Oryctolagus cuniculus: one gene and its partner. The protein of the gene in region 1 purifies or fractionates together with the protein of each later gene. This does not show direct contact. Links are inferred from orthologs where the notes say so. Each region holds a gene or a part of one and is shown on either strand. Other genes may lie near its edges.

What was found. The genes of interacting proteins can lie anywhere in the genome.
Region 2: the proteins of BLK (region 1) and HSP90AB1 purify together in Homo sapiens (affinity purification with mass spectrometry; 3 studies listed by BioGRID and IntAct, with this or other methods). This does not show direct contact. The link is inferred for Oryctolagus cuniculus from reciprocal best matches to the Homo sapiens genes BLK and HSP90AB1.

Annotation. Positions count from the first base shown.
Region 1 is NC_091433.1:42,965,496-42,968,972, reverse strand, and holds the end of BLK (tyrosine-protein kinase Blk), read left to right. Parts: intron 1-512; coding exon 513-663; intron 664-1,571; coding exon 1,572-1,703; intron 1,704-2,318; coding exon 2,319-2,524; 3' UTR 2,525-2,960; downstream 2,961-3,477. UniProt on the Homo sapiens protein: Non-receptor tyrosine kinase involved in B-lymphocyte development, differentiation and signaling. B-cell receptor (BCR) signaling requires a tight regulation of several protein tyrosine kinases and phosphatases, and associated coreceptors.
Region 2 is NC_091436.1:125,882,770-125,886,840, reverse strand, and holds the start of HSP90AB1 (heat shock protein HSP 90-beta), read left to right. Parts: upstream 1-1,236; 5' UTR 1,237-1,443; intron 1,444-2,596; coding exon 2,597-2,743; intron 2,744-3,078; coding exon 3,079-3,285; intron 3,286-3,368; coding exon 3,369-3,528; intron 3,529-3,619; coding exon 3,620-3,753; intron 3,754-3,863; coding exon 3,864-4,071. UniProt on the Homo sapiens protein: Molecular chaperone that promotes the maturation, structural maintenance and proper regulation of specific target proteins involved for instance in cell cycle control and signal transduction. Undergoes a functional cycle linked to its ATPase activity.

The DNA of each region.
Region 1 (3,477 bases):
CCCTCAGCAAGGTGAAGCAACTTGCAGAGGGCCCGGGGTTCCCACTGTGGGCTCCCCAAGGAGAGGACACGCCCTCCTCATCCTTCCCCGCCCCCTCCTGTTCTGCTCCCTCCCTCCGCAGACACCTTCCTTGCCCTTGCCTTGGTCCTGCTGCCCGCCTTCCCCACAGACACTCGGACACTGCCCGGATGCACAGGTGGCCCCTGCGTCTCCGCCCACCGTGTCCCTGCCGTGCCGGGCTTCTGGGGGCCTGGGGTTGAGCTGGCTGGGGAGCACTGCCTCCCACGTGCCTTCCCTAGCCACAGTATCACCCCCACGCAACCACCAGAAGCAAGCAAAAAGCCCACTCCAGCCTGCCCTGACCTCCCTGTATTGCTAGTGGGTGGTAAGGTGGGCTTGGCAGGCGGGCTGGTGGGTGAGGGGCTTAGGGGCTGTGCGGGGGATGCTGGGTGCATGCACCCCCGCCCCCGGCCCCCCGCGCGGCCCTTCACCTCATGGCCTTGTGCCCTCAGATTGCCGAAGGCATGGCGTACATAGAGCACATGAACTCCATCCACCGCGACCTGAGGGCGGCCAACATCCTCGTGTCCGAGGCGCTGAGCTGTAAAATCGCTGACTTTGGCCTGGCCCGCATCATCGACAGCGAGTACACCGCCCAGGAGGGTGAGCGGGCCTGCCCTAACCCCGGACTCCACAAGCCCCCGTGGGAAGGGACCTCAGCGTTGTGAGGCACCCACACCTGCACCTGCACAATCGCCTGTCCTGGGTGCATTGGGCAGAGCAGACCGTCCACAGGGGAGTGGCTCTGCAGGGAGACAGGCGTGGGGGTGCTGCCTGGAGCTGATCCCCAGTGCACGGCACCACAGCAAAGGCACTGAGAAGTCCTGCAGTGACCTTTACGTGTACATAGGCCTCACCTCCAGTCCCCCAGCTATTTTGAGCCCCAAATACTTTGCCCGTTTGGTTCCTGTACACTGTCCACCAAAGCAGAGTTTCACGGATCAGACTTTGAGCAGCAGCGCCTGCACCGGGTCAGGCTTCCCCCGGAGCACTCTGCCTCTGTCTATCGCAGCTCGGGAGAAGCGAAAGTGAGCATAGGTGTCGCTGTTAGGCGAGCACAGTAACTAGTGGGTCCAGGTCCAGGAGGAGAGATGGGCTTGGTCCCTCAGTGACCGAGATAGCAAGGCCACGGAAAAGCTCAGGTGGGCACAGCATGGGCTGCTCAGAAAGACTCCAGGATTCGATTCCTGCCTCACAGCACCCCAGGGAGGCACCCACATCACCTGCCATCTCCAGGTTGCAGGACAAGTTCACGTGTGCGGGGAGGGGGAGATTCTGCCATCCCGGATGGACGCACTTTTATGAGGTCCATGTGCCCTCCATGCAAAGACCCAGAGGGGTGATGGGGAGTGCTCTTGTGTCCTGGGGTATCTTAGTGACTCCTGGAGGCAGCTCTGCTGTGTCCAGGAGCCGAGCCCAGCAAGGCCCCAGAGCGGGGGCAGGCTGGGGGTGTGTAGGGGTGCGGGCACCAAGGCACCACCTCTCAGAGCCTCCTGGGGCTTTTTCTGCAGGAGCCAAGTTCCCCATCAAGTGGACTGCGCCCGAAGCCATCCAGTTCGGGGTGTTCACCATCAAAGCAGACGTGTGGTCATTTGGGATCCTCTTGATGGAAATTGTCACGTATGGGCGGGTGCCATACCCAGGTAGGCTGTGCCCCACAGCTCTCCCGACGCTGCCTGGCTCCCCATGCCGTCCTGGGGTGGGGGTGGGGAGACCGGCGCTGCCCGTGCTTGCCACAGCCAGGTCCTGTCAGAGACCCAGGCAGGTCCCGGGGATGGGGGTGGGGTGGGATTGTGCTGCTTTATCATCTTTGCTCTGACCTCAAGTGAGCTCTGAAAACAGCAATCAGAGTGAACTCCACTTCATTCCCAGCCGATCTGTGTCAGCTGGGGGCAGGTTGTCTCTCCCTGGTTCTTACACCTGGGGTGTATGCCAGAGCCCCACCCTGAGCAGGCAGAATGCAAAACCCCCACTCTCCGCACCGCTCAGCCTGGCAGTCGGCCGGGGTGAATTTTCAGGGCACCTGCCCAGTGCGTGGCGGGTGTCTCAGGCAATCACAGATCATCATAGAGGATCCTCCCCGGGGGAGGCTGCCCATTCAGGAGGAAACGCACAGCCTCTCTGCAGCCTTTCTGCCAACCCTAGACAGAGACGGCCCGAGCCGGCGACCGGGAGGAAGCAGGGATCTGCGTCCTTGCGGCGCGCGCCCTCCCCGTGCTGAGCCTGGCGCCCCGCCCCGCGCTGTCCGCTGCCCGCAGGAATGAGCAACCCCGAGGTCATCCGCAGCCTGGAGCGCGGCTACCGCATGCCGCGCCCGGACTCCTGCCCGCCCGAGCTGTACCGCGACGTCATCGCCGAGTGCTGGCGGGACCGGCCCGAGGAGCGGCCCACCTTCGAGTTCCTGCAGTCGGTGCTGGAGGACTTCTACACGGCCACCGAGCGGCAGTACGAGCTGCAGCCCTAGGCGCGCGGCCCCGCCCCCTGGCTCACCTGTGCGAGCCTCGGGCCCGGGACGAGCCGCACCTGTGGACCGCTGCGGCTCTTCTTCAGGCCGCGGGCGAGCCGGACGGGCCGGGGGGTACTGGCGCACCCACGTCTCCGGATCAGGAACCAGGGGTAGAGGCGACCTCGCAGGATCGCCGGCTGGGCCCTGGAACGACTTCCCGAGCCCCTCTGTGCGTTGGCACCACGGGGCAGTACCGTGTGGCTTTTCACGCCTGTCGTTCGCGCTGACCGCCGCAGGGTTAAGCCTCGGGAGGTGCGCAGAGCAGTGCCAGCCCCGCGCAGGCGCCGCCGTGCGCCCGGAGCCGCGCCCTGCTTGCTGCCGGGGTGGGGGGCCCCCGACCCAGGCGGCACTCCGCACTTTGGGACTGTTCTGTAATAAAGTCGCAAGAGTCTGACCTTCCCCGGGTAGTTTCTGGCGACAAGACTGGACGACGCATACCCGCTGTGCCTGAGGGTCTCCGCCCGCGCGAGCCCTGCAAGACACAGGGTCTGGGGTTGAAGCTGAGTCCCGCCCCCGCAGGGCGACTACGAACCCCGTAGTGCCTTTTCCGACCGGCAGGGGGCGTCCTCACCCCACTTATCCCCGGCCCATGGACGCGGATCTGAAGCCTGGGCGCAGCTAAGGCTCTAAACCGATGACAGGGGGCAAACGCCAGGAGTCTGGCTTGGTGGCCACTGTTGTCGCTCTGCAGCCGAGGAAGCTGCCCTAGCGCCTTACCCTACAGATGAAGGGGGTCACCCAGTGCTCCACAGACATCTCCTCGGGGCCCTCGGGGCCCTCCTCTTGTCCCTGGAAGATTCTATCTCCTAGTCTTGGGCTGGATCTGCAATCGTGGTCCTTCAGCAGCAGTTCAGTGGCGCAAGCCTCGGCTTGGCCCCTTGCTCTCAGCCCTAGCTGCAGGGAGACCCAGC
Region 2 (4,071 bases), on another chromosome or scaffold:
CCTTGGCCCAGTGACGGCCGGGACGACCACGTGGACAGCGCAAAGAAAAGAAGGGTCCTCCTTTGTTCTCTGGAAGCCAGCATGCGGCCAAAGCTGGTTAAGGAGGGGGAACCGGGTGCCGGGGCTGGCCGGCTGGGGAGCACGGAGCAGGGCGTGGCCAGGGTCTCCTGGGAAGGACGCGGGTCCAGCAGACTTTCAGGGGACCCTTGGGAAAGGCAGGTCCGCCGGCAGCCGGAAGGCAGGCAAAGGGTCCAAATTGGGCCAGGCGGGCGCGACCCGCGGCTCCCTGGGCTGCCGCATGGCCGAGGGTCGCAAAGGAACTTGGTTCCCACGGGGCAGGCGACCACCGGCAGGGGTCCCTGGAGACCCTCCCCTCCCCCTGCCCCCGCAGCTAGAGACGCGAACGAGGGCGTAAAATCCGAAACCAGCTTGGGAAATAGCTTGAGGTGACCCTGTAAGCAGGGCGCCTCAACCAGTGTTTAGGGATTGGGGGGCTGCCGCGAAGGCTCGGGAAGGGATGGGCACCCCCAGTCTCGGCTTGGATGGAGGCGCCCGAAAAACATTTCCGCTGCCCGAGGTGTGCGGCCGGCGGGAGAGGCGGAGGGCCAGGTGCCCCTCAGCGGCGGGGCAGTGCCGCGCTCCGGGGGCGGACGAGGCGGGTAGCAGGGCCGAGCAGCGGCAGCCCACCCGCTCCGCCCAGGGGTCGGCCCGAGCTGCAGTACCTACACTGCCCGGGCCGCAGCGCGAGGGGAGGAGCCTCGAGGGGAGGCGGCGGCGGGGGCGGGGCCGCCGAGACTGGCCTGGAAACTGCTGGAAGTGGCCGCAGCACCGCTGCCGCCGCTCCTTCCGCCGCACGCCAGCAAAGAGTCCCCTCCCTCCCGGGCCGGCGCCCCTCCCCCGCCCCAGGGGGCTGCAGGCAGCTGGGCCGTTCGCCGGGAGGAGGGGGGATATATGTGGCAGATCCTAGTTAGACGACTGGGTGGGAGTGACTACCTCTGCTCGCTTCAAGTCCCCGTCGGCTCGGCCTCCTGGTTGTGGGAGGGCTTTTGGGGGAGCCGGTGGGGTCCTCGCTCGCAGATCCACTGTTGAGGCATATGAGCACTCTCAGTCCCTAATCGTGGCAGGGGTCACGCCCTGGCCGTGCAGAGAACAGGAGCTCACGAGCCCACACCGAGGCTGGCGGCTCTGGCTCTTCCCCGCCCGCCCCCTATTCCGGACCATGACGTCAAGGTGGGCGGGCGCCGGCAGGTGCGGGGCTCGCGGGCGTCCGCCTTTAAGGCGGAGGGATCCGGGGGAGGCGGCTGGGCTGTGCTTCGCCTTATATAGGCTGGCTGGGGGCTCCCAAGAGCTCTCTTGAGTCACCCCCGCGCTGCCTCGTGCCGTGTGCGGTTGGCAGTCCGGGCCCTCCGTGCTCTCTCGTGCTCGCAGCCCTTTCCCTTCAAGGTAAGGCAGCCGCGTCCCTGCAGGCCGTTCCCCCGCGGGTGCTGTCGCTGCGCAGCTCGGGAGCCAGACGCCGCGGTGCGGGGCGGCCCGTGGGTCCCCGCGCGCTCGGGCTGCGGGGGTGGTGCGTGGAGGCTTTCCAGCGTCCGGTCGGCCTGCACCGGCGCGCCGGGCCGGCGGCGCGGGGCCGCGGCGGGGGCCGGCTGCACGTGGTGGCCGCGCCGGCCCGGGGCGCTGCCATGTTTGCCCCTCCACTTCCGGACGCGGCTACGAGGGCCGCGAGGCGGCCGGGTCCGCGCGCGGGTGACTCAGCACTGCGCGCCTGGGTTGCCGCTGCTGCTCGGCCCTCGAGGTCCGTGCGGGACCCGCCGCGGGCAGAAACGCATTTGGCGTGTGGCAGGTCTTTTCCGCAGCCCTCGAGTGGGAGGGGACAGGCTCTGGAAGATTCATAGGCTCCCTCCCCCGCCCCTCCCCGAGCGCGGAGATTGTTCTCGAAGCTTCTGGAGCCCGATGCTCCGCCCCAGTGCCCGGATGCTGGGGCGATGGCGAGGCGCGCTGTGGCGCCCCCTTCTCGCGGGGCTGCGGCCGACGCATGTCCGGCAGTGACGAGGGTCGGTCCGCGGCCCCGGGCACCATTTTACTTGGGTGCGAGCAGGTGCTGGGGCGTCACGGGGCAGCCTTCGCCTGCTCTGTTCTTTGTCCCGCGTGGACTGCCCCGCGAGCCGGTTACCGCTGTTTCTCGGGTGTCAGTGTGCCCTGCCGCGTGGGGCTGCGATCGGGCCTTGGGCGCATCCACACTACAGGGGTAGAAGAGCTGCCTACGGGCGAGCAGTTTGAGAATAAAACCAGCGCCCACATCAAAGAGACGTGTGGTCAGTGATGCTGGCGTTTGAACGTGGGGCGGGAGTCCCTTGTCTGGGTTGGGACCAGCGTGGTGAGCGGCTGCTGGTCACCCCTGCTCCATGCTACCTGCTTGTCTGGTTGAGGAGGGCTTTGCTCTTGACCTGACTCGGTGGTTGTTAGTATTCACCCCACAGGTTTTAAGAAAGGGCGTGTCTTCAGTAACCCCGCCCAAAGCAGTTTAAACACCATCTGAATTTCAGAAGCGTCAGTTCTGGGGCCGCTACCTTCCTGATTCTTGACCCTCCTGTTCCAGATGCCCGAGGAAGTGCACCATGGAGAGGAGGAGGTGGAGACTTTCGCCTTCCAGGCGGAAATTGCCCAACTCATGTCTCTCATCATCAACACCTTCTACTCCAACAAGGAAATCTTCCTGCGGGAGCTGATCTCCAACGCGTCTGATGTGAGTTCCTTCGTGTTTCATGGCTGGCTGGGCTCCTCCCGAAGGGGGAAAACTGATTGCTATTGAAGGGGTTTGTCCGGGTGCTCCCTGGACGAGCGGGCCAGTGTGACCACGCGGCTCCTAGTCCAGTGAGGCCCAAGGTTCTCACTTCCAGGGGTATTTCAAGGACGCAATTTTCTGTTACCATTAAATGGCACGTTTATTACTCACTCTAAGAGTTCACAGTTCGTGTAGGATGATGGGGCAGTCAGAGTTACAGCGTGAGAGTAGCAATCCAAGAGGTTCCTAACGCTGAAGAGACGGCTAAGAAATCCGCTGTTGGTGCTGCCTTGCAGGCCCTGGACAAGATCCGCTATGAGAGCCTGACGGACCCCTCCAAGCTGGACAGCGGCAAAGAGCTGAAGATCGACATCATCCCGAGCCCCCAGGACCGCACGCTGACGCTGGTGGACACCGGCATTGGCATGACCAAGGCCGATCTCATCAACAACTTGGGGACCATCGCCAAGTCGGGGACTAAAGCCTTCATGGAGGCTCTGCAGGTAGGTGGCAGCCAGCCCTCGACGTGCGGCCGGGCCTCTGTTCTCTGCAGGACACGAGTCTGACCGTTCCCGCTTCTCTGCAGGCTGGTGCCGACATCTCCATGATCGGGCAGTTCGGCGTCGGTTTCTATTCTGCCTACCTGGTGGCCGAGAAGGTGGTCGTGATCACAAAGCACAACGATGACGAGCAGTATGCCTGGGAGTCTTCTGCTGGGGGCTCCTTCACCGTGCGCGCCGACCACGGTGAGTGGCCGGGAGGCGCTGCTTCACAGGGCGAGTGTGCAGCAGGCGGTCCTGGGGCAGCTCGCTCACCGCCTGCCCTCCTGGTCTGCAGGGGAGCCTATTGGCCGAGGCACCAAGGTGATCCTGCATCTCAAGGAGGACCAGACTGAGTACCTGGAGGAGAGGCGGGTCAAGGAGGTGGTGAAGAAGCACTCGCAGTTCATAGGCTACCCCATCACCCTCTACGTGAGTATGCTTCCCGCGGAGGCAGCCTGCCTGTGCTTCTGGTGGGCTGGGCCATTTGCTTGCCCTGAGGGTCGGTGCTCAAAACTGACGAGTGTTTCTGGGTGCTTTAGTTGGAGAAGGAAAGAGAAAAGGAAATCAGTGATGATGAAGCAGAGGAAGAAAAAGGGGAAGAGAAAAAGGAGGAGGAAGATAAGGAGGACGATGAGAAGCCCAAGATCGAAGATGTGGGCTCCGATGAGGAAGATGACAGCGGCAAGGACAAGAAAAAGAAAACCAAGAAGATCAAGGAGAAGTACATCGATCAGGAAGAACTGAACA